Macaca fascicularis: one gene and its partner. Each later gene encodes a partner of the first gene's protein in a complex. Links are inferred from orthologs where the notes say so. Each region holds a gene or a part of one and is shown on either strand. Other genes may lie near its edges.

Region 1 (11,686 bases):
TTGTCTATTTGGAGAGATCATGGTTTGCTGTTTGCTGTTGCTTCTTGTGGATGTACAACTATGTCTTTGCATTGAGGATTTGCTATTTATTCCAGTCTTCTCTGTCTGACTTGTTTTGGTTTTTATTGCATATATTTTCTTAGAGAGTCTTTATCGCTAGGTTGTTGTCTCCTTTTGGCTCTAGGTTGCACCTTAAGCCCAGATTTGCTTTCGCTCTAGTAACCCATCAGTCACTGGCTGTCCTGAATGGGGGAGGTCCCAAAGGAGATATCCCAGATGTGTGGGAAGCCTGGCTAGGGGTTTGTCCAGGGGACCTGCTGAATGTACCTCCTGCAGTGTAGTGGTATTGAATAGCCACTCTGATTTAGTGTCTCCTTTGGCTGAGCTACAGAGTAACTGTCCCACCTCCCTACTTTGTCTCTGCCTGTTCTCAGGGATATTTCTCCCTTCCAGCACTTGTGATACTTCCCATAGGTTAAGGCACAGACAGATATTTTGTCAGGGAACCCAAGGTGGTGGGAAAGCTGGTTGTCTACCTTGATCGTGTTTTCTTCAGTGTAGAAACTGTGAGTTGGGGGGAAATTTTTCATGTGTTTGGTGTCAAGCAGAATGGGGGAGAAGGGTGTCATGGATGTGGAAATCTGATTCTATTACAGTCAGCTTGGAGGCTTTTTCATATCTTTTTTCACTACTCTGAAGCCTGAGGAACCGTCTCATCCTCATATTTGAGTTCTGGAGTTCTGGGATATTGCTAATGCTAACCTTGGTGCTGTATATTTGTTTTTGATTTTCTGAGGGCTCAGGGGGGCATTCAGTCAGCTTGCTTCTATGCTGCCATTTTGGAACTGGAAGTCCAGTCCTATCTATGTTGCACTATTATGTTCTAAATGTTTGTGTTCCCTCAAAATTGCTATGTTGAAAACCTAACCCCCGATATAATGGTATGAGGAAGTGGGGTCCTTGGGAAGTAATTAAGTCATGAGAGTGGAGCCTTCATGAATGGGAATAGTGTCCTTATAAGAAGAGACACAAGAGAGCTTGCTTCCTGTCTCTCTCTTTTGCCACATAAGGATAGAATGAAAAGTTGGCAGACTGCAACCTGGAAGAGGGCTGTCATCAGAACTTGATCATGCTGGCACTTTCATCTTGGATTTCCAGCTTCTAGAACTGTGAAAAATAAATTTCTATTGTTTACAAGCCACCTAGTCTATAGTACTTTTTTATACTAAACTGAACAAAACATGCATGTATATGAATTTTATTTTTTACTGGATTAGTGGATTTGCAGGTCCTTTACTGCCATCCTTCTTTGGCTGCGTCCACATAATGCAGAAATGACTCATCTGTTTGACAAGTTATAGAGTCGGAGAAAGGGATCTGCCGGACTGACTTGAGATAGCATATGTAAAAATATCTAACACAGTTATTGGCCATTGGTAGTTGCTCAAAGAATTTAATCATGAACTCCAATTCTATGTTCAAATTTCACATTGAAGACTTTTAATTTCCTTTTAAATTAAAATGCATAAAATGGCTATGGTAGTTGCATTAGTTTCCTAGGACTGCTGTAAGAAATTAGCACAAACTGGATAGCTTAAAACAATAGAAATTTATTCGCTCACAGCTCTGAAATCTAGGCATCTGAAATCAAGGTGCTGGCAAGTTTGGTTCTTTAGAAACTCTGAAGGAGAATCTGCTCTATGCCCCCTCCTACCCTCTCTGCTGGTTTCTGGCAATCCTTGGTGTTCCTTAGCTTACAGATACATCACTCCAATCTCTGCCTCTGTCTTCACATGTCTCTTTTCTGTGTGTCTCTGTATTTCTTAAAATCTGCTTCTCCTTATCAGGACAATAGTCATTGGGCCCACCTTAATCCAGCAAGACCTTAACTTAGCTTGATTACATCTGAAAAAACCCTATTTCCAAATAAGGTCACATTCACAGGTATGGCAGGGGGGAGCTGGTGTAGGACTTGAACATATCTTTATAGGGGACACAATTTCAGCAAACTGCAATTGCATACTGATGAGCTTTGAGTTTGAGTGACTCTGGAAATTCCTTACCTCCCTTGATTGCTGCATTCCCACTGCATCTGGCTGCTATGAATCTTTAAAATCCTATTTAAATATATTTGTGTCCACTGAGGTTACATGATTGAATTCAAAATCTTTTCTAAAGGTTATCCTCTCCTTAAAAATCAAACTATCACCTTGATTGCATGTGTGGAGGGACCTAAGTGGAGATACTGGTGAGAAGAGGATCCACAAGGATACTCTTTGAGGCTGCTCACATGTTGACAAGGAGAATGAAGTAATTCACAACTTAATTCAACTCATTTTTCTTAAGTTTTAACAACTTACCAGAGTACATCGTCAGGGGATGTCAAATCAAAAGCACAACTCTCGACACCGTCTTTAAATTTGATGACCTTCGAGTAGATCCAGACAGGCAATGCCAGGATAAAGGAAGCTGCCCAAAGGCCCAAATTGATCCGGATGGTCTTGTACCTTGTTCTCCAACTTGTCAGTCGAAATGGTTGGACGAGGGCAAAGTACCTGCAAAAGCAGTCAGGAAGAGTTTTGGAACAATCAATAAAAACACTGAGCTCCAAGGATGAAAGGTTCATGACGAGCGTAAATTATTAGCATTATTGTCCTCTCTGAAGCACACCTCTATCAGGGTGAAAGAAAGTTATATTTTTTAAGAGCTGCCTGGTATCTGTAGAGAAAACAATTCTTGGCCCTGCAAGTCTGAATAAACCACTCACTGAAATAGTTGTTCCTTCTATGAACACACTGATAATGGCAAAATTCTGCAGTGCACTCTTTACAAAGGCGCTTGTCCTGTAAATGAGACTCTGGAAAACTTTGTCTCTGAATACGGATTTCCTCCAGGAGGAAATGACCCTTTTCCCAGCAAGATTTACTGACACAGAGGCAGGAAGGAGGAAAATGTGGGGCTAAGAGAATCTCTCAGCAGAAAGGGATTCAGGAACATAGAACAAACATTTTGCCCCGATGGCTTTATACTAAAGTCACCACGCTCATGGAGTTTCAGCTCACAGAAGTCACAGTGAGGATGAACAAGTGTGACTAGTATAGACAATGCAAATTCCTTAAGGAACTTAGGCTAGGAGCCAGAGGGAAGAAATGGGCTAATTTCATGGGGAAGCATTTTTCTTTATTTTTTTTTCTTTTCATTTTACAGCCAGGAAAAAAGTGGTAATCATTAATCAAACTTGAAATTCTGACATATCTAATATATTTAGTCCTCCAGCAAATCCAAAGAATTTTTCAGAGCAAAATGAAAACTGAAGAATGAGAAACAAGAGCTCAGATTCAGAAGGAAGGCCTATTTGAAAAAGCACAGCTTTGCTGGGGGCTGGGGGGTGGTGGAGGATAGTATCAGCAGAAATTAAACAAATGTAAAAATGGTTTTTATGGTCACTTAAATTTCTCCAAGTTTTTGTAAAGCTACTTAATGAAGACTCACAAAAATAAAAAAATTTCCTCTTCTTTTGCCCTTTCAATTTTGCACCAGAAGCAGGACATTTGTATTCAGTTAAGGGGCCTTTGGTTGCAGAGAGTGGTCTGGCCAGGGTTCCTCGGCTACCCATCCTCTGCACACTGCACATGCATTCCCTGTGGCTAAGGAGAGAAGGGCCTCTTTTCTCCCTGCTGGGGAAGTGGATACCGTAGTGACTGCATAGCAGCCCAGCCGTCAGTTTTACTGGAATTATAGGATGATGAAGTCATGGGATCAAGCAATTAAGGAATCTTCTCTGATAGCATCCCTCCCCAACTGAAAATCTTTCAATGGTTTTCTATAAATTCTCAGAATTCCTCCCATGTTCCACAGGTCTTTTTTTCCCACCTGGTTCTGCCTGCTGCTCAAGCTGGAGCCTGTGCCAGTCTCTCCCTTGACTTCCTCAAGCTCTTCCCCTTTCAAGGTCAGGTATATGCTGTGCTACCTGCCTGGCGGGATCTGCTTCTGCTTCTTCCTGCTCTTCCTTCAAGACCCTATTTAACCGTCTCCCTCTTAGGGAAGACTTGTTTGACCACCCATTCTATACAAGGGACCACGACTGTAAAAGAATATTATAGGGAGACTCTATTTTTCCTTCCTAGTGTGTTATCACTATGTGGAAATAAACATTTACTTGTGGGACTCTTCACTTAATGTCTGTCTATGTCACTAGAATGAAAGCCCCACGAGGGCAGGAGCCTTGACTATTAGTTTAAGGCCACTGTATCCCCTGTGTCCAACAATCTCTGGCATATGGTTCATGCTCAATAAATATTTTTTGAATAAATGAATGAATAAATTGCAAATTTTGGCTCCTACTTACTGACTCCTGATGTTTTAGAGAATTTATTTATAAAAGTAGCCACTAATGAAAGTCTAGGTAGCTTTCATTTGAAAGCAAACATTTTTGACATTTTGGGTGTTTATATATTGTTTTTGTATGGCTATGGAGGTAGGAGCCGACTACTAGATATTCTACACACTTGCAGTTATCACTAATTAGGGAAAGCAAAATGAGTTATTGGAAACACTTGAAATGTATGATCCATTAAATTGGCAATTAAAATGATTTAAATATGTAAACACTAAGGCATACTGATGGCACCGACATTTAGTTATGATCTTACAAAGCAAGCCTCATTTCTCTCTTACAAAATTGCAGATTTTGTTAAACTTTAATGATTTTAGTAGAGTTAGAATTACAAGAACTGTGAGGAAGGTAATGGTTCAGTTTTATAGCCTCTTCATTTGTTTCTTACCACCTGATTTTCCAGAGCGAGGGGAAGGAAAGGGCAGATGTCTTAAATGTGAAATGAAATTTTAGCATACTATGTCAATTGGATTAAAACCAAACAAAACAAAAGACTACGAGTAAGATACACACGCATGCATGTGTGTACATGTATACATACAGAGAAAAATCTGTCAATATTAAAAAATATACACAGTTTGTCTGTTCCAAGGCAGAAAATGCCCATTCACTTCATTTACAGTAAAAGATTTACAGGAGTATACCCCTCTTTTTTTTTTTCTCAAAAAAAAGGCAATATTCTCCTGCATCCAAGGCACAGTGTATAAAGAAGCTCGTATTATCCCCAAGAATGGGATTACTAGTGGTATGGTCTATACCTTAGGTTGCTTTTCCATAGTGAGCCTGGCCTGTTCAAGGCCCTCTTCCTGGTATTGGAACCCTGACATGTTTATGGGGCTTTTCTCATGACACAGTCACAGTGGCTGGCATCAGCTGAGCTAACTAGACCTATGCAGTATATTGATTTAAAAATATGCGAATTATAAGTTGAGAAGGAAACTTTATATTTTGAAAATTCTCTTGCAAAAAAATAAAAGTATATTTAAAATTTTACCATTATTATTCATTTTTGTCAGAGTGGATGATTTATATGAACCTTGTCATTCTTTTTTTGTCCATCTAAAGAATGGTTCATCACTTCCCCACCCAAGAGTCCCATTTGGAAGGGTGAAAGAGGGAGGGTTCAGGAAGATTTCTGGATGGACCCGGGGAAATTTAACATACCCTTCAAGACATTCATTCATTCATTCATCAATATTTTTTTAGCACCTGAGTGCCAGGCAGCGTTACACACACATTTATGATATATTTATGGACAAAGACCTGCCTTTGGGGAATTTACATTTGAGGTGCAAGGGAACTAGACAATAAATCACACACACACACACACGCACACACACACACACGTGATTTATGTAATATATTTGAATCAAAGGAAAAAGACAGTAGATCAGAGAAAGGAGGATTAAATGTGTTGGGCTGGGGTTGGGTTGGGAAGAAGGCAGATGGAGATTTTAAGTGGGTTTTTCTGAAAGACAGAGTAACACTGTTGGAAGTACTATGGTTGTCTTTAGGCCCTGTTTCTGTTTGAGGTGAGCTGTTAGGACCTGGGGTGGACATTCTGGCATCCGGATAATGCAGGGCACATCCTAGCTTGCATGCTTCCTAGACAGGCCAGAGATTGAAGCAGTTACAACTACCTGCCATCTCTAGAGTCAGATGATTTGGGTCTGAACTGGATTCTACCACTTATCGGCTCAATAAGTACTCACTATCACCATCATCTCCTCAAATAACATTAGCTTACATGGATGGTGAAAGGGGCTATGGCACATTCCAGGACATAGTGGTATACATTTCTAATAATATAAAATGACAGCATTTGTATTAACCAATCACAATAATGTTTGTGAAAGATGATCTTCTTGGCACTGGGAAATTGCTTCATGGTCATATAAGAACCTCTATTTACTCCACTGATTCCTTAGAGCTATGAGGCAATAACAAGTGTATGAGACAGTGGACATATCAGAAATAGCCTTGGACAGAGACTAAGGAAACCTACTTTAATTCTTGGCTCTGCTGCTAATTCTCTATGTGCTTCTAGCAGATCTCCTCACCTCTTTGGGCCTCAGCTTCCTTACTGTGAAATTCATGGGGGGAATTCATTCTGGTTTCTAATATTTCACGGTTTTGTGATTTTTTTTCATGCAGTGAATTGCAAATAAAACTGAGTTGAAAAGAATGATTAGAAAAAAGGAGATTTTTGTGTTTTATGTTTTCCATTAAAAATAGACCTCTGTGAAAGTTGAACAAAATATTCTTAAGTAATCAATCCTACAATGAAACAAGCAAAGGAAGAAAAGCTTTGCTGTAATAAACCAAAACTGATGTTGGAATTGGAATGAGCTTGGGGAAGCGCAGGCACCTCTGAATTATATTAAGATATTTCAAAGTCCTTCACTTACCTGTCCACACTCATTACAGTCATGATGGCACTACAGGCAAATTGGTTACAAGTATCCAGGGATGTGATGATGGTGCAGAGAGGCCCCCCAAATACCCACTCTCCCCCTCGGGCCCACTGGTGAATAAGAAAAGGCATTCCAATGATGTGGACCAAATCAGCCACAGCCAGGTTGCAGATATAGATGTCAGGGACTGTTTTTTTTCTGGACCTGAAAGAGATAGAGGAAACTGAGGTTTGACATTGAATGTATACAGACTATTCAATATATGCTACCTGATACAATTTTTAATTGCCATAATGCATTTTAAAATGTTAAAGGAAACCTACACAAATGCATAGAGGAAATGCCTAGTCTTGTGTATATTTAAGCATTTTGAACTATTTATTTGATAACTTACTGTGGTGGTTTAAAAATATGTCCACAAAATCTTTGATATTCCTTTCAATAGGTGTAGCCTAATTCCCTCTCTCTCTTTTTTTTTCAATTCCCTCTCTTTGAGTGTTGACCTTATTAACTTGCTTCTAACAATGAGAATATGGCAGAAGTCACAGTGTATGCCTTTGAAATTGGGTCACAAAGTTATTGTAGGGTTTTCTCTTTGCTCTCTATTGGATTGCTCTCCCTGGTGGAAGCCTGTTGCCATCTTGTGAGGATACTCAAGCAACACTATGGAGAGGTCCACGTTGAGAGGAGCTGAAGCTCCAGTCAACAACCAGTCAGTACCAGCTTTCGAGGTATGGGAATGAGCTACCTTGGAAGTAGATCCTCCAGCTGCAGCCAAGCCTTCAGATGACTGTAACCCTGGAAGACAGCTTGATGGCAACTTTATGACAGTTCATGAGCCAGAACCAACCAGCTAAGCTGCTGCTGAATCCATGACCACTGGACACACATGAGACAGTAAACGTTTATTGTTTCAATCCGGTATGTTTGGGGTAATTTTTTAATGCAGCAACAAGTTATACCAACTTTAAATACACTCAGACAAAAGATTTAGTCTTTACTCATTCCTAGTATTTAAAACAGCTGAAGACTGAAAATAAATGATTTCTGTTGTCTAATGCTTTTTTTTTTCCTGTTGTAACTTAGGCCATTGTTAAGATTTCAACAATGACTTAGAAATATTCCAGAAAAATCTAACAAATAGCAAAGACTATTAATAAAGACCCTGAGATCCAGACAGAGAGAGTCATCTGAAAAGAGGGAGCTGGTAGATGGCACTGAGAATGATGTCATGTCTCCTGTGGGGAGCTGGGGGTGGGAGAAGTGAATTCAGTGCTATCTAGAAGTGGCCTTCTCATCAGCAGGTGAAATACATTTCTGAGAGCAGAAATTTAAAATTCAGCTGGTTCCTCTTTCAAGGAGCTGGCACATTCAATAATAAACAGGTATCATCTTTATCTGGGAGATGCTGTTTATTAATTCAACAAACATTTTGTTGAGCACCAATTACATGGCAGGCATAATACTGTGCTCTAAGGCTGTAAAGCTAAACCATGTATAAACCCTGTCATCAAGGAGCTTATAGTCTAGACTTGCATAAATAAATGATCACATTACAATTTGATGAGAGAAAACTAGAGACAAGTACAAGGTCAAGAAGCACAAAGAAGGGGCCCTCTCCTTTTTCTTGGGCACAGTCAAGACAGGTTTCTTGGCAGATGTGGACAAATAAGAATTTAAAGAGCATATAAGAACCAGTCCTAAGATTATGCCACAATTGCTAGTTTTCTCCTATTTCTTTTTTTTTAATTTATTTTTTATTATTATTATACTTTAAGTTGTAGGGTACATGTGCATATCGTGCAGGTGTGTTACATATGTATACTTGTGTCATGTTGCTGTGCTGCACCCATCAACTCGTCATTTACATCAGGTATAACTCCCAATGCAATCCCTCCCCCCTCCCCCCTCCCCCCTCCCCATGATAGGCCCCGGTGTGTGATGTTCCCCTTCCCGAGTCCAAGTGATCTCATTGTTCAGTTCCCACCTATGAGTGAGAACATGTGGTGTTTGGTTTTCTGTTCTTGTGATAGTTTGCTAAGAATGATGGTTTCCAGCTGCATCCATGTCCCTACAAAGGACACAAACTCATCCTTTTTTATGGCTGCATAGTATTCCATGGTGTATATGCTCCTATTTCAGGGCTAATGCTCTGCTGTTTGGAAGCTCGTGTGTGTCTTTATTATTCATTGGCTACAACTTCTATAACCTGTGAGCTTCATTTCTCAGCTGTCAGATTCTCATGTGAAACATCAGATTGGGTGAGGCCGTCTCTTCTCCAGGCCTTGGCAGCACCCACTATGTGGGGCAGTTACTGCCATGGAGTCCTCATTCAGCAACCATACTGTATGCATTGTTGCTGCCACTAAAAAAACAGGTTGGTTCCTTGCTCTCAGGAACTTAGTGCCTCACACTAGAATGACCAAGAGGGAGAGATGACATGAAGAAAAGATCATGTCAAACAAAAGACCAGCCAGCTGACTGTCCTTGGTCTCTCATCCCCTGTCCTCTCCAGGCCATTAGAGTGGGAAATGGAGAGGGGACAGAAAAGAGGGACAGATATTAGCAGTCAGATAGAAAGAGCTCCAAACTAAAAAAAAAAAAAAACAGACCAAAAAAAATCGTAAATCTTGGTCTATAAATAGACATTATTTGCATGTGAATTGGGATATAAACCATAAGCAGTTGCTTAGGTCTCAATTGCAGCAATTAGATCCATGGCCCTTGTTTTTCTCTAGAGGGGTACCCATCATTTACTGATAATGAATTATGGTAATTATATTGTGGAGACAGTGCAGGCCATTAACTGCCAATTAAAAAGAATTAAATAAAAGTGTGTCTCGATATTCTGTACAGTACAAAGAGAATTCTGAAGCAATTGATAAATTTATCTGGACATAAGTTACTAGGGCAATATAAATAACACATTATATTTATTATTGTCTTCTTTACTGAAAGCAACAGCATCGAAATTAAAAACAAATAGAAATTGTAAAATTTCTAACTATATAAATTATATCCCATTTTAGGTCTAATTTATCTTCAGATTTCCTGATGTCAGACTTCATGAGATTTATGTTTCTTATGATGCAAACATTTAAAATAAAATACAAAGACTTGTGATAATTTTGGCTAACATGTGTTCCATATGGTTAAAGTGGTCATATCTAATGCTCATTAATTTGAGGAATGACAAAATAAATTACGGTATTCTACACTACCACACTCAATAGGATATAGCTGTTATAAGTCATAGTTTGAAAGAATATTTAATCACATTGGGAAAAAAAGAAAGAATACTCGTGTAGAGCATGACTCTAAATTTATTTAAACATTTGTTAAAAAATTTGCAGGAACAATATGTCAAGTGATCACAGTGATCATCTATTTGGTAGTAGTATGACTGATTTTTTTACTTTACTGTTTGCATTTTCTGACAATTTTTCAAAATTTCTATTAAAACCATGCTTACCTTTTGCAATCAGAAATAACAACATATGATATGGATTCAGTAAAACTAACAAAACACAACACTACGCATGTAGGCTGCCATGCTTGTCATTCGCTAGCCTGTCCTCAGGCCCCTTTGCCAACTGGCTTCTGATTAGGTTTGGCCAATCAGAAGCACTGGTGGGAACTGGAGAGTAAGGGGGAGAAGAGAAGCCAGAATGTAGCCCTCACTCCATGATCCAAGATACCAGTGGGGCTCCAGCTCCCACCAGGCAGCCCAGACTGCGGAGGGCTGTAAAACCTCTTTCTCCCTTTCTTCCTCCAGCTTGGGGCAGGGAGAGGAAGGTGGTGTTGGGGTGAGGGATGGGGTAGGGTGTAGAACTGGCTTCCTGCTCTTGTTAATCTCTGGGTTGCCTCACCATCCTGTCTGGCATTTAACTCTAGTTGAATTAAATTGCTATCATGAGCCAATGCCAATGGATTAGTAGTCATTTCCTGAAGCACTTTGCTGAGAAGAATTCTGAGTCCTCACACAGGACAGACCTATACAGAACAGATGCTACACAGGACAGACCTGTGTGATTAGAGATGACTGCTAAGGGTGAGAGAGTTTACAGTAGAGTCACATATTTGCCAACCCTTCCCTACATAGATAGAGTGATATAGTGGAAAGATAACTTAATTGGGAATTTTATTTTCATTTCTATGCCCTCACTCATTGTGTCGTTAGGCAAGCCACTCAACTTCTTTAGATTCCCAAGCCGGCTTAGCATATTGGCCAACTGGACCATAGATCAGAACAAATGTGGTTGCAAGGTACTCTGGCATCTAAAACATATCTGTGCAGCCAAGGGTATGGGTCAATTCCAACAAAAGTCTGTGTATGGCTGACATTTGGAATGGTAGAGGGCTGGGTCAGAGGGAGCTGTTAGTTATTATTTAATCTGGGTTGGGAAAAAAGAGACCTGTGTTCTAAAACGTTTCCCATCCCTGTCAGCAACTGGAATTCTGCCATTAGACAGTATTCCTCTAGGTTAATACATTTATTAACCTCTGTTTGTAACCTCTGTTTCATGATTTCATGACTTAGTATTAATTAGTTGACCTGACAGGGAGATGAAGGCAGGAAGTGACAAAATGGGAACTCTTTATTTTTGGAGGATAGGGCACCTTTTATAGAGACTCTGCCCACTTGAAGGGAATCTATCAGTAAACAGAAGGAAGATGTGTTCAGAAGGTGGATGTGGGGGTCTGATAAAAAAAAAAGTCAGTGCCTTTATTAAAGGACAGGTGATTCCCAGGGCCTGCTGTGCCTGTGGAGAATAGTTGAGTAATGGGGTTGAGTTCATTGATCGGTCTCCTGGGAACGCAAGAGGAAAATACTATAATTGGCTCAATTTTCTGCCTACCTTTTCTAAACTGGCTT
Region 2 (10,865 bases), on another chromosome or scaffold:
GAAGTATTTAGTGAAAAGCATACTGATATATGCAATATACTTTGAAATGAATTAAAAGAATAAGATGATTAATAAAGGGATGGAAGGGATAGAAGTGAAATGTTAATGGTAAACTCTAGGTGAAAGTGTATGGGTTGTTTACTATAGAAATCTGAGAAGGAATTTTAACTTTTCTTACATCTTTTGATAATTTATATAAGTGAGCAATCTCGGCTTTTACACTCATACAATTAGCCACTAAGAAATGATGATTCTCAGTAAGCCAATGGCCAACTGCCATTTAACTTATCGGCAACACATAGCAAAGATGTGTTAATTGGAGCAAAGAGAACTTTAATATAAAGTGACTTACAAATATATAGTGTCAGCAGTAGTTCTACAGAAAAAGAAGATCATATTTGATATAAGCCTTTTGCCTTTGCAAGGTTTACTGAACCACCCAAACCCATCTAGCAATAGTTTTACTTCTCCAAAGTTCCCTTCTACTACTTGGGGACATTCCATTTTCAGCATCAATGAAAAAGAAGTCTGCTATGCTCCACTGCACATCACAGTAACCAATTTTTTTTTTAAGTTATCATTAAAAAAATTGGAAACTATCTCCATAATTAAATGGTTATGGCAAAACCTCACAATGTTCAGAGGCTATGACAGTTTAAACAAAATAAAGCATTAACTTTTCTAAACTATCAAAATCATTTGGATTTGGTCCCAATTTTGAGTGAAGATCAGTCAAGCCAATTCATCCGGCGGAAATGTAAAACAAAATACATAATTATTAATATTTATTACCCTCCCAGAACTGCATCTAAGAAAAAAGATTTCCATTAACAAGGACTTTTTTTTTTTTTTTTTAAGACAGTCTTGCTCCGTTGTCTGGGATGGCACTATGTCTGCAATGGCACTATGTTGGCTCACTGCAACCTCCATCTCCCAGGTTCAAGCAATTCTCCTGCCTGAGCCTCTTAAGTAGCTGGGATTACAGGTGCCCACGACCATACCAGGCTAATTTTTATATTTTTAGTAGAGATGGGGTCTCACCATGTTGGCCAGGCTGGTCACAAACTCCTGACCTCAGGTGATCCACCCACCTCGGCCTCCCAAAGTGCTGGGATTACAGGCGTGAGCCACCGCATGCAGCCTAACAAGGACTTTTATAGATTAAACAGGCACATCCAAACCAGGTTCAAACCAAGGGAAACAAATTAGGGCACAACTAACAACATTAAAAAGATAAGGAAGCTCTAAGATCAAAAAAGTCAAGGGATGTCAGAGTCCTTTGTTTATAATTATACTCACAAAACATTTACTGAGAAAGATCTTAATAGTCCCCGAGAAAATCAACAGTTAAGTCTACCTCAGATAAAATGTACTTAAGTGAAATAGAAAAATTATACAATAATGTAAATTCCTAAAACAAACTAAAAAAGAAACAGAGAAGCTAAATGTTCCTACAGCTACTGAAGAAAGTAAATCAATTCTTAACAAAAATCCTACCAAGAAAACACCAAACCCGCAGTCTAACAAGACAGAAAAGAAAGGATAAATCTTGCCTCAAATGTATGAAATTAGTACAACCTTAATATCAAACCAAAGTCAATATAAAAAAGGAAAATCACAAATTAATCTTTCTTATTCATAAAAAGTAAATTTGATTTAAATTTGATTTAGTAAAATGTACTAAATCAAATATTGCCAAATTGAATCCAATCATTTTTTTTTTTTTTTTTGAGATGGAGTCTCGCTCTGTTGCCCAGGTTGGAGCACAGTAGCACGATCTCGGCTCACTGCAAGCTCTGCCTCCCGGGTTCAAGCCATTCTCCTGCCTCAGCCTCCCGAGTAGCTGGGACTGCAGGCGCCCGCCACCACGCCCGGCTAATTTTTTTTGCATTTTTAGTAGAGATGAGGTTTCACCATGTTAGCCAGGATGGTCTTGATCTCCTGACCTTGTGATCCACCCACCTCGGCCTCCCGAAGTGCTGGGATTACAGGCGTGAGCCACTACGCCCGGCCGAATCCAATAATTTAAAGGTTTCTTTCATGAACACATGGTTAGTTTAACGTTAGAAAAATCTGTTAATATTTCCAAAGCCTGAAGGAGAAAATGATCTGGTCATCTCAATATATGCAAAAAAAAAAAAAGCATTCAATAATATTCAACAATTCATGATAAAAACTATTAGTAAGCCAGAAATAGAAAAGAACATCCTGTACTTTATAACAAGTATCTACAAGAAACCTACATCAAACATTATGCTCCATGGTGAAGCATTAAAATCATTATCTGTAAAATCAGTAACACTGCAAGGATATCACTTATCTCCATTTTCAGTAGTTACTGGAGGCTTTAGCCAGTGTGTATGAACACACGAACAGACACACAGACATGTATACACAATATAGATGAACTGAGGAGAAAGAGATAAAATGCCATTATTATATCATTTATATCAATTGTCTTCATACAAAATCCCAAAGAATCTATACATTTATAAACTATTAAAAAAAAAAAAGAGTTTGGAAAGTTTTTTCTGTTATCAAATTACTATGCAAAAGCCAAACGCACATGCACATACCAGCAATAATGTTGCAAATATCATTTTTAAAAAATACAATTTATAATAACCAAAAATAAGAAATTCAATTAAAATGATAAAGAATTATAATTCTCTCAACAAAGGTATGCAAGACCTTTATGAAGAAAAGAAAATGTCATTAAAAGATTAAAGAAGAAAAAAAAATTAAAGAAGATCTAAGCAAATATAGAAAAATGCCATGCTCATAGATAATAAATTACCTTCAGGATATCAATCCTTCTCCAAAATTAATCTTTAAAACCAATGTGATTATAGGTTGAGCATCCCAAATCTGAAAACCCCAAATCCAAAAATGCTCCAAAATCTGAAACTTCTTGAGCATTAACAGTATGCTAAAAAATATATATATTTACTGAAGCATTTCAGATTTCAGATTTTGGGATGCTTAACTGATATAATGCAAATGTTCCAAATTCTGAAAAAAAATCCCAAATCCAAAAATACTTCTGGTCCTAAGTGTTTCAGATAAGGGATACCTAACTTGAACCTTAATATCCTGTCAAGTGTTCTTACAGAACTTGAAAAGCTGATTTTAAGATTTATATGGAAAATAAATGACTAAGAATAGCTAAGGAACTACTGAAAAAGAAACACATGTGGGTGAGTAGAGGGCTGGGAAATTTGACCTATCAAGTATTAAAAATTATTTTAAAGTTATATTAATACTGTAGATTTAGCTGTGGAATAGAACATTCTGAAAGAAGCCCACACATATATAGAAATCTGATATACTGCAGAGATGGCACTGCAGATTAGTGGGGACAGGACGAATTCTTCGAGAAATATATAAGGACATTGGGAAAAGTAAAATTACATCTCTATCTTATATCATACACAAAATTACAGATGAATTACAAACCTAAACATGAAAGTCAAAATATTTAAACTTTTAGAAGAAAACATATGAAAACACATTAATAATCTAAGGATTGAGAAGGATTTCTTAAAAACAGCACATTAAAAGTAGTTGCCATAAAGAAAAAAGAAAAAAATTTAACATTAAAATTAATCAGTTTGGTTCACCAAAAGACACCATAAAGGGGTTGAAAATATGTCACAAACTGAGAAAATAATTGCAACATATATAACTAACAATTAATATCCAGAATATATAAAGAACTCCCATAAATATATTAGAAAAAGGCAACCCAATAGAAGAATGGACAAAGCAAAAAAAAAAAAAAAAAAGCATTTAACATAAGAGGAAACATAAATGGCTCATAAACATATAGGAAGACACTTGACCTCTTTGGTAATTAGGAAAATACAAATTAAAAGGACAATGAGATGCCTAAGAGTCAGCTAGGACATAGAACAATGGAAATGCTCATACCCTGTTTATCGGAGGCACAAATCGCTTACCAGTATGTGGGAAAACATTTTGGCATTAGTAAAGCTGAACATATACATACTCCATGACCCAGCAATTCCATACTGAGAAATATACTCTAGAAAAATTCTTACATATATGTACCAGAAGACATATAAAAGAATGTATTATCTTACTCATTGGGGTCAAAATTAGAAATTAGCTCTGAAATGTTTAATTAAGTCATACAATATACACTCATCATCCAAAAGTAATGTTTATGGGCACATAAATATTATTTTCATGTACTTATTCATTAATTGCTAAATTCATTAACAAATATTTGTACCTATTATCCTTTTGTAAATGCAGAGATAAAATACACCTGACAGGTCAATTTTTGATATAGCATGAATGGCTTTTTGTTCACACTGACAGGCATATGTACCTTAATCACCAAAGACTATATCAAGTATTTATAAAAGAAAATCCCTTTTGAGGATTATTTCAGTTTAATCAGGATTAAAAGGAAATAAAACTTTATCCTTATCATCCTTGAGTGAAATAACTTGAGTTTTAATATCTTTACTTAATCAGAAAATACATGGAAGGAAACAATAATATAGAGAGAGCCTGATGTCCTGTGGTCTTCCTTAATAACAACCCATTTTCAAGAGACTATAATCTACTCAACAGAAAGCATTCTACCAAGGATCTTAATCAGATGCTGAGAAAATTCACACTCAAAATAAACAACGTACCACTAAAACCAAAACAATAGGTATTAGCAGCTGCATAAAGGTTAGCCTCAATCTGTTGAGTCATTTCCAAAATGATGAAAAGTATAATTCTTTGAAGTACTTTTTATTCAAGCTGGAAAATATATAAAGATACAGAATCGTTTGCCAACCAGGCTATTTTTCATTTTCTTTCTTGTTTGACTGTATGCGAACATCAAACTAAGAATGGCAAAAATGAATCTCTCTTCCTACATATTAATACTAACTTTTTCTTTGTTTTCTCAAGGTATTTTACTTTCAGCATCCAAGCCCATAAGAAATTTAGACGATGACATGGTATTTAATACATTCAGGTTGGGGAAAGCCTTTCAGAAGGAAGACACTGCAGAAGAATCAGTTATTGCTCCTTCCCTGGAACAATATAAAAACGATGAGAGCAGTTTCATGAACGAAGAGGAAAACAAAATTTCAAAGGTAAGTGGCAATGTGACTTGTCATTTATTTCAATGAAAATTTAAATGATTCTTACAAATCCTCTGAAAAGTAAAACTAATACTTTTATAAATAGAAGTATATGCAGTCACAATATGCATTAGGACAACTGACGATATTTCTTGCATGCCAGGTAGTTCTTCCATCCTGGAAAACCCTCTTATCTGAAAGGTTTTTTTTTCTCCTATAAATTTGCATCTAAGGTATTTTTAAAGAGTCAAAAACAGTGCAGAGCATCTTTGAATTGATCGACAAGAATATTATGCAGTTTATTACAGTTCCACTCTGAATACGATAGCTAAAAAACAAATCAACTTTCTCTTTACAGAACACAGGCTCCAAACATAATTTCTTAAATCATGGTCTGCCACTGAATCTGGCTATAAAACCTTATCTTGCACTAAAAGGATCTGTAGCTTTTCCAGCTGAAAATGGAGTTCAGAATACTGAATCAACACAAGAAAAGAGAGAAATTGGGGATGAAGAAAACTCAGCTAAATTTCCTATAGGAAGGAGAGATTTTGACAGTGAGTAGTCTTTTCAAAATTCAATTCTACGTCCTACCACCATTAAACAGAACTCTGAGTTAAAGCGAATTTGGATGCAATCATAACAAAATCAAATAAGACCATGGCTCAATTACACCTGCCAAAAATGTGGGATTGAATAGCAATAATTAATTATTATCATTTTGGTTTACTCAGAATTAGTTATGCTAGATCCATTCTTTTTTCTTAATAAATTTTGTGTGATAATCATAGTCCTTTAAACAATTTAAACTTTCTTCTTCCTTCAGTGCTCAGATGTATGCTGGGAAGAGTCTACCGACCTTGTTGGCAAGTCTGATACCTGTTGGTCCACATCATCTTTTCAGAAGAAAATAAAAGCATTTAATTGTCAATGGGAGGAGAAGCCCCTAATGCTACTATAACTTGTGCATGTTAAATGTTTGTTTTAAAAGAAAGTAGTGTTAAGATGTATCAGTAACTGAAATTATATGCTTTTACTGTGCATTAAACTTTGTGAAAATTCTGCATAATTATGACTTACTAGTATTTTTAAACAATGCTTAACATACTAACCTTACATACACTGTAGACCAAAATAATAAATCATCATAATTTACACCTTGATCTCTTAAAAATTAAGCATGTCTTTGGTGAATGGTTTATAGATACATAAACCTAAAGCATATAAGACACAAATTTATAGTCTAAAAAACTGAGTTAACTTTGCCTGGCCAGGAATCAACTTGTCCTTGGCAGTACATTTATTACTTTTTGCTACTTTAGCTAGTTTGCTGTACAATTTATTCTGTGAATCATTTGATTTCTTAGGTATTTTAACATTTTTATGTTGAGGTGGTTCATTTCCATTATCACAGAGAATATTTTCACCATCCAAATCCACCTGTTTCCTTTTTGAGCTTTTATTTCCTGTCTGACTAGTTGATTTTCTTGATACTTTTTCATTTTTACTTCTGTCCAGATGAACATTTCCAAAACTCTTTCCAATTGTTGACCTTCCAACAGATGAATTTACACCCTCTGTTATGCAAGATAAAAAGTGGAAAGGAATTATATAATATTTAGTACTAATATTCACGAGAACTTTACAATAAACTCTAAAAATGGCTAAAGAATATTCAAATGTTTATTTTTAAAGTAAAATAATGTTATAAATAATATGATTAACAAATACAGCTACATTACTATCCCATTACTTTTAATTTTACCATAGCACCTCTGAGTTAACTTTGGCCAGTAATCAACTTGTCAGCCCTACTAACAAATATTTGTTTGAATGCATGACATTTAATCCTTAAACATATGCTACAAATTACTTCTTAAACACATTTAGTTAAATCAAACTATGTCCTATTCCTATCCATAAATTTGTACTTAGATTTAACTTTTTAAATAAACTGAGGTCTTTACAAATATAACCTTTCACATTTCACAGTACTTTGCAAAAATAATCTAATTTTACTTAAGTTAAAACTAATTAGTAGACTAGAATTAAATTGCTATTTAATTGCATAAATAAGGTCAATTACCAGAAAGGTCATTTTCCATGTGAAGCACACACAAAGGCTTTGATGCTAAATTAACATTATTCCAATTATCCTTGCTTATCATGTAGTCATCTTTATAAGTACAAGCAAATTGGGATCTAATTAAAGTTTGCTTCATCTGGTAACAGAAAGAAGAAAATATGCCATTTATTCATTATTTTATTTCTTCATCTAGATGGACACACACTCTATAGTAATCAAAGTATAACAACTTCCCTTAGAAATTCTATTACTCATTGAGAACCTCTAACCTTTTATATCTCATAGTTTGCAAACTCATTCATCGCTATGGCTAGCATTTTTGTTCTTTTCCAAAATACTAGCTTTATGTATTTTTTTATGTTTTATTTTTTGGTAACAGTTACAAAACAATCAATTTTAGACTCTATAGGGCTTTGTTACACATTCCTATGTCAGTGCTGCTTTGGAGCATCTTATTGTAAGTAAAATAACAATACAGGTGATATACATAATCATAGAAAAATACAAGTTCTTCATCCTAAGAAGAACACAACTCTTGGAAAAAATAGCATAAAATTCAGGAAATTAGGGAGGGAAGAAATGCTAAGACGAAGAAAAGAATTAGATGAGGCCAATCAACAACAGGAAACTAGCAAAGAAATAAACTACAAGATAAAACAAAATGATATAGGAAAGACATTATTTCTCGAGCATTTAGGAAAACAAGAAAGAGGATTCAATATATCATTCTAGAAAGATTTGACCAAGTGACTTAATGGTCAGAAATTCAAAATATACTCTTGCATTTATCTTCAAATATCAAATAGGAGGGCCTAACTTTCTACACAAATAGAAGAAAATTACAAAGATAAACTTAATTCTTGACCATTGAAAAAGATGCCAAAAAAAGTAGTTTTGGAAATGTATTCCACAAACATAAACCAGTGAGCTATTGGGGTATAGAAATTAATTTTAGAACAAAGTAGCCTATATAAATAATGCCGATTTCAACAATTACAGATGGTGTGTAATACCATTCAGGTTTAATGGAGAGATGTCTCCAAATAGAAGTCACCTGAAATCGTTTTATGAAATAGACAAAGTTTCAAATACATAATTCAATAATGATGACTTCAATAATTCAAAAATTTAAAACTTTGAATGTAACTACATTACCCTGATTACCACTTACAGAGTATTTGTTGATACAGTCATGAAATCTAAAACAGCATGACTTTACATTATACATTGAGTAGTTGTATATTATGTTATATACTCAGAGATCGATGCATTAATTCACTCAGATGTTTGTAAAGATAACAGCAGTGAAATCTACTGACTACGGCTTAGAAAAAGTCAGAATAATCGCTTGTCCAGCTGCTTCATAAAAGCAAGTTTTATTAGGATGACACATTTTGTTTCTGACTAATGAGGTTTGTGACAGTCTCCATCTCCCAGATCACTAAAAATTATGTTTCATGTGCTTACATGAAGCATTAGACAATTGGAATTTTATCTTCCATTTAAGCATAAAAATGTACAAAACTGAAAATAAACGTGAAAATACACAAGATCAAAAACTATTTTTTAAAAAGTTGAACAGAATGGACTCTCAAAAACAAATGGGACTACAACCCACTACCTTCATGAATCCCTATGAATGCAACACTTATTATATAGCTTCTACCACAAGATGCCCTATATATAACTGAAGACTTTAAGTAGCTCTTTCTGGACTTTATTAATCCTATAACTACAGATTTAAAGCACTTGATAAACCTATTTAAATAAGTTTTATTTATAAAATTGACTCTATGTTATACTACATAATTGTAGCATTATCCATGAACTTTTATTTCCACCTGCAACACCAGTACTAACTGTTGATATTATCTTTTCACACATTATTTTCACTTCACAGAAGTTATGGCTTATAGAGAATTATAAACTTATTGCTTATAAAGAGTTATAAAGAGTATAGTAAGACCACGCAGGCAAATAGATGCTGAGTGGCTGGCTTGGATCACTCTTTGTACCCCAGTAGTGATGGCACCTAGAGTTAGCTTGGGAGATGTTAGCTTCTCACTGCAAAACCTTCATGAGCACCACCCATAAAACATGCTAAATAAAAATATAATACTAAATAATAATTATATTATTTAGTACAGAAAACTAATGTTTCTTCAATCTCATGTTTAGCAGGAATAAAAATTTCTTTAGAATGTTTCATTACTTTTATTAATTTTTAACATATAGTCTAGGTAAAAAAATCTTTGCTTGCTGGGCAAATAGTCACAAAATAAGTGTGATAGCTCTCCTTACAACTAGATTTCCTCAATTCAGGCTCCTCCATAGACAAATTCTAGAATCCTCAGTGACCACAGTAAAATTTCAGAAAACTACCATCACAGGCAATGGATTCCTGAAGTACTGAAAACAAATTCAGATGTAAAAGAAAAATAATTAATGACTTTTTCTACCATGAAAAATATTATTTATAAATGTATTAAAATATGAGAAATAAACACAACAGAATTCCCCCCTTTGTATATTGAGGGTTTTTTCTTTACATAAATGATTATATGCAGATTTTCTTTTCCCTGTCCTGTACAAAAATCACTTTTTTTAAAATCAATTACCACTTATTAAGTTCCAACTATGTGATAAGCACAGCGTATACTAGAGATTACTAGGATGGCTTCTACAACTTCAAAGACATTCTACTTATAAAATTTGCTATTGACAAACAGCTGGAAGGAATAACAAATAAATTGGATAATAGAGTCAAGATTGAAAAGATTTCAGAAGGCTAGAACCATAAGTAGAAAATAATAAGATGAAAATGGATGGGGATAAACAAAGTCCAGTATTTAAGTTCAAAAATATCAATTACAGATGTACAGGATGAGGAGAACCTGACTTAAAAACAACATATGTAAAAGACCTAGAGATTTAAATAGATACAAACTTGACAGAGCCAACAGTGTGATGTCCAACTAAGAAAGCAGCACAAAAAGGTAAGATGATGTGACGGGAAAAGCATCAGATTTGCAGTCAGAAGACCTGGCTTCTAATACTGGCCCTATTACTTATTAACTAGATAACTTTGGGGAAACCATTATACCTCTCACTTATCCACATATAATGGGAATATTTACCTCACAGAATTATCAGAATTGGATGCAGTTAACTTATGTCAAGGTTATATAGACTCTAGAAATCTATGCAGACACTATATCACTATTATCGTAATAACATGTAGGAAGAGGGTACTCTTGTAAGAAAAAGATCTGTTCAATAAGGTGTCTCAGAACCAGGCCAATTCTAAAATGATTCTAGGAATGCAGCTCAAAAAAATGAACTTACAAACAGCTTCTTCATTTTAATTATTTAAACAATACAACCTACATTGGCTTATATTTATAACTTAAAAGAGACCGCTTTTCCTTTGTTCATAAACGCTGAATTTTTCTACACAAGATTAGTGGCTACATAGAACTGAGATTACTTCCTGTTGCAAATCTTCCAAATCTCTCTGTGTATTTGATTTGGAATCACGAATAAGCAAAACAATTCCCTCTTGAAAGTGCTTTTGAAGTACTAAACAACTAAGAATAATGTCCAGATTCACACATGGCTATTAAAATCATTTCATGTTCAAGTCACATGAGAGAAATGGATTGAAAGTGTGC

Evidence for each region.
Region 2: the proteins of MCHR2 (region 1) and PMCH are in contact, whole or in part, in a cryo-EM structure (PDB 8WST), measured with the Homo sapiens proteins. The link is inferred for Macaca fascicularis from reciprocal best matches to the Homo sapiens genes MCHR2 and PMCH. Residues at the interface, in NP_001035269.1 of Homo sapiens: His82, Gln92, Trp93, Gly96, Gly97, Thr110, Asp113, Gln117, Ile175, Phe177, Val181, Ser183, Cys184, Ala185, Phe186, Leu188, Thr189, Ser190, Pro191, Val194, Tyr197, Thr198, Tyr267, Gln271, Asn274, Met277, Glu278, Gln279, Pro280, Phe284; in NP_002665.2 of Homo sapiens: Leu151, Arg152, Cys153, Met154, Leu155, Gly156, Arg157, Val158, Tyr159, Arg160, Pro161, Cys162, Trp163.

What each region holds. Positions count from the first base shown.
Region 1 is NC_088378.1:75,384,350-75,396,035, reverse strand, and holds part of MCHR2 (melanin-concentrating hormone receptor 2), read right to left. Parts: intron 7,015-11,686; coding exon 6,805-7,014; intron 2,556-6,804; coding exon 2,361-2,555; intron 1-2,360. UniProt on the Homo sapiens protein: Receptor for melanin-concentrating hormone, coupled to G proteins that activate phosphoinositide hydrolysis.
Region 2 is NC_088385.1:109,183,391-109,194,255, reverse strand, and holds PMCH (pro-MCH), read left to right. Parts: upstream 1-4,822; 5' UTR 4,823-4,871; coding exon 4,872-5,120; intron 5,121-5,121; exon of another isoform or gene 5,122-5,466; coding exon 5,467-5,673; downstream 5,674-10,865. Other genes in the region: PARPBP (PCNA-interacting partner), read right to left, coding at 6,345-6,685, 7,195-7,330. UniProt on the Homo sapiens protein: MCH may act as a neurotransmitter or neuromodulator in a broad array of neuronal functions directed toward the regulation of goal-directed behavior, such as food intake, and general arousal. May also have a role in spermatocyte differentiation.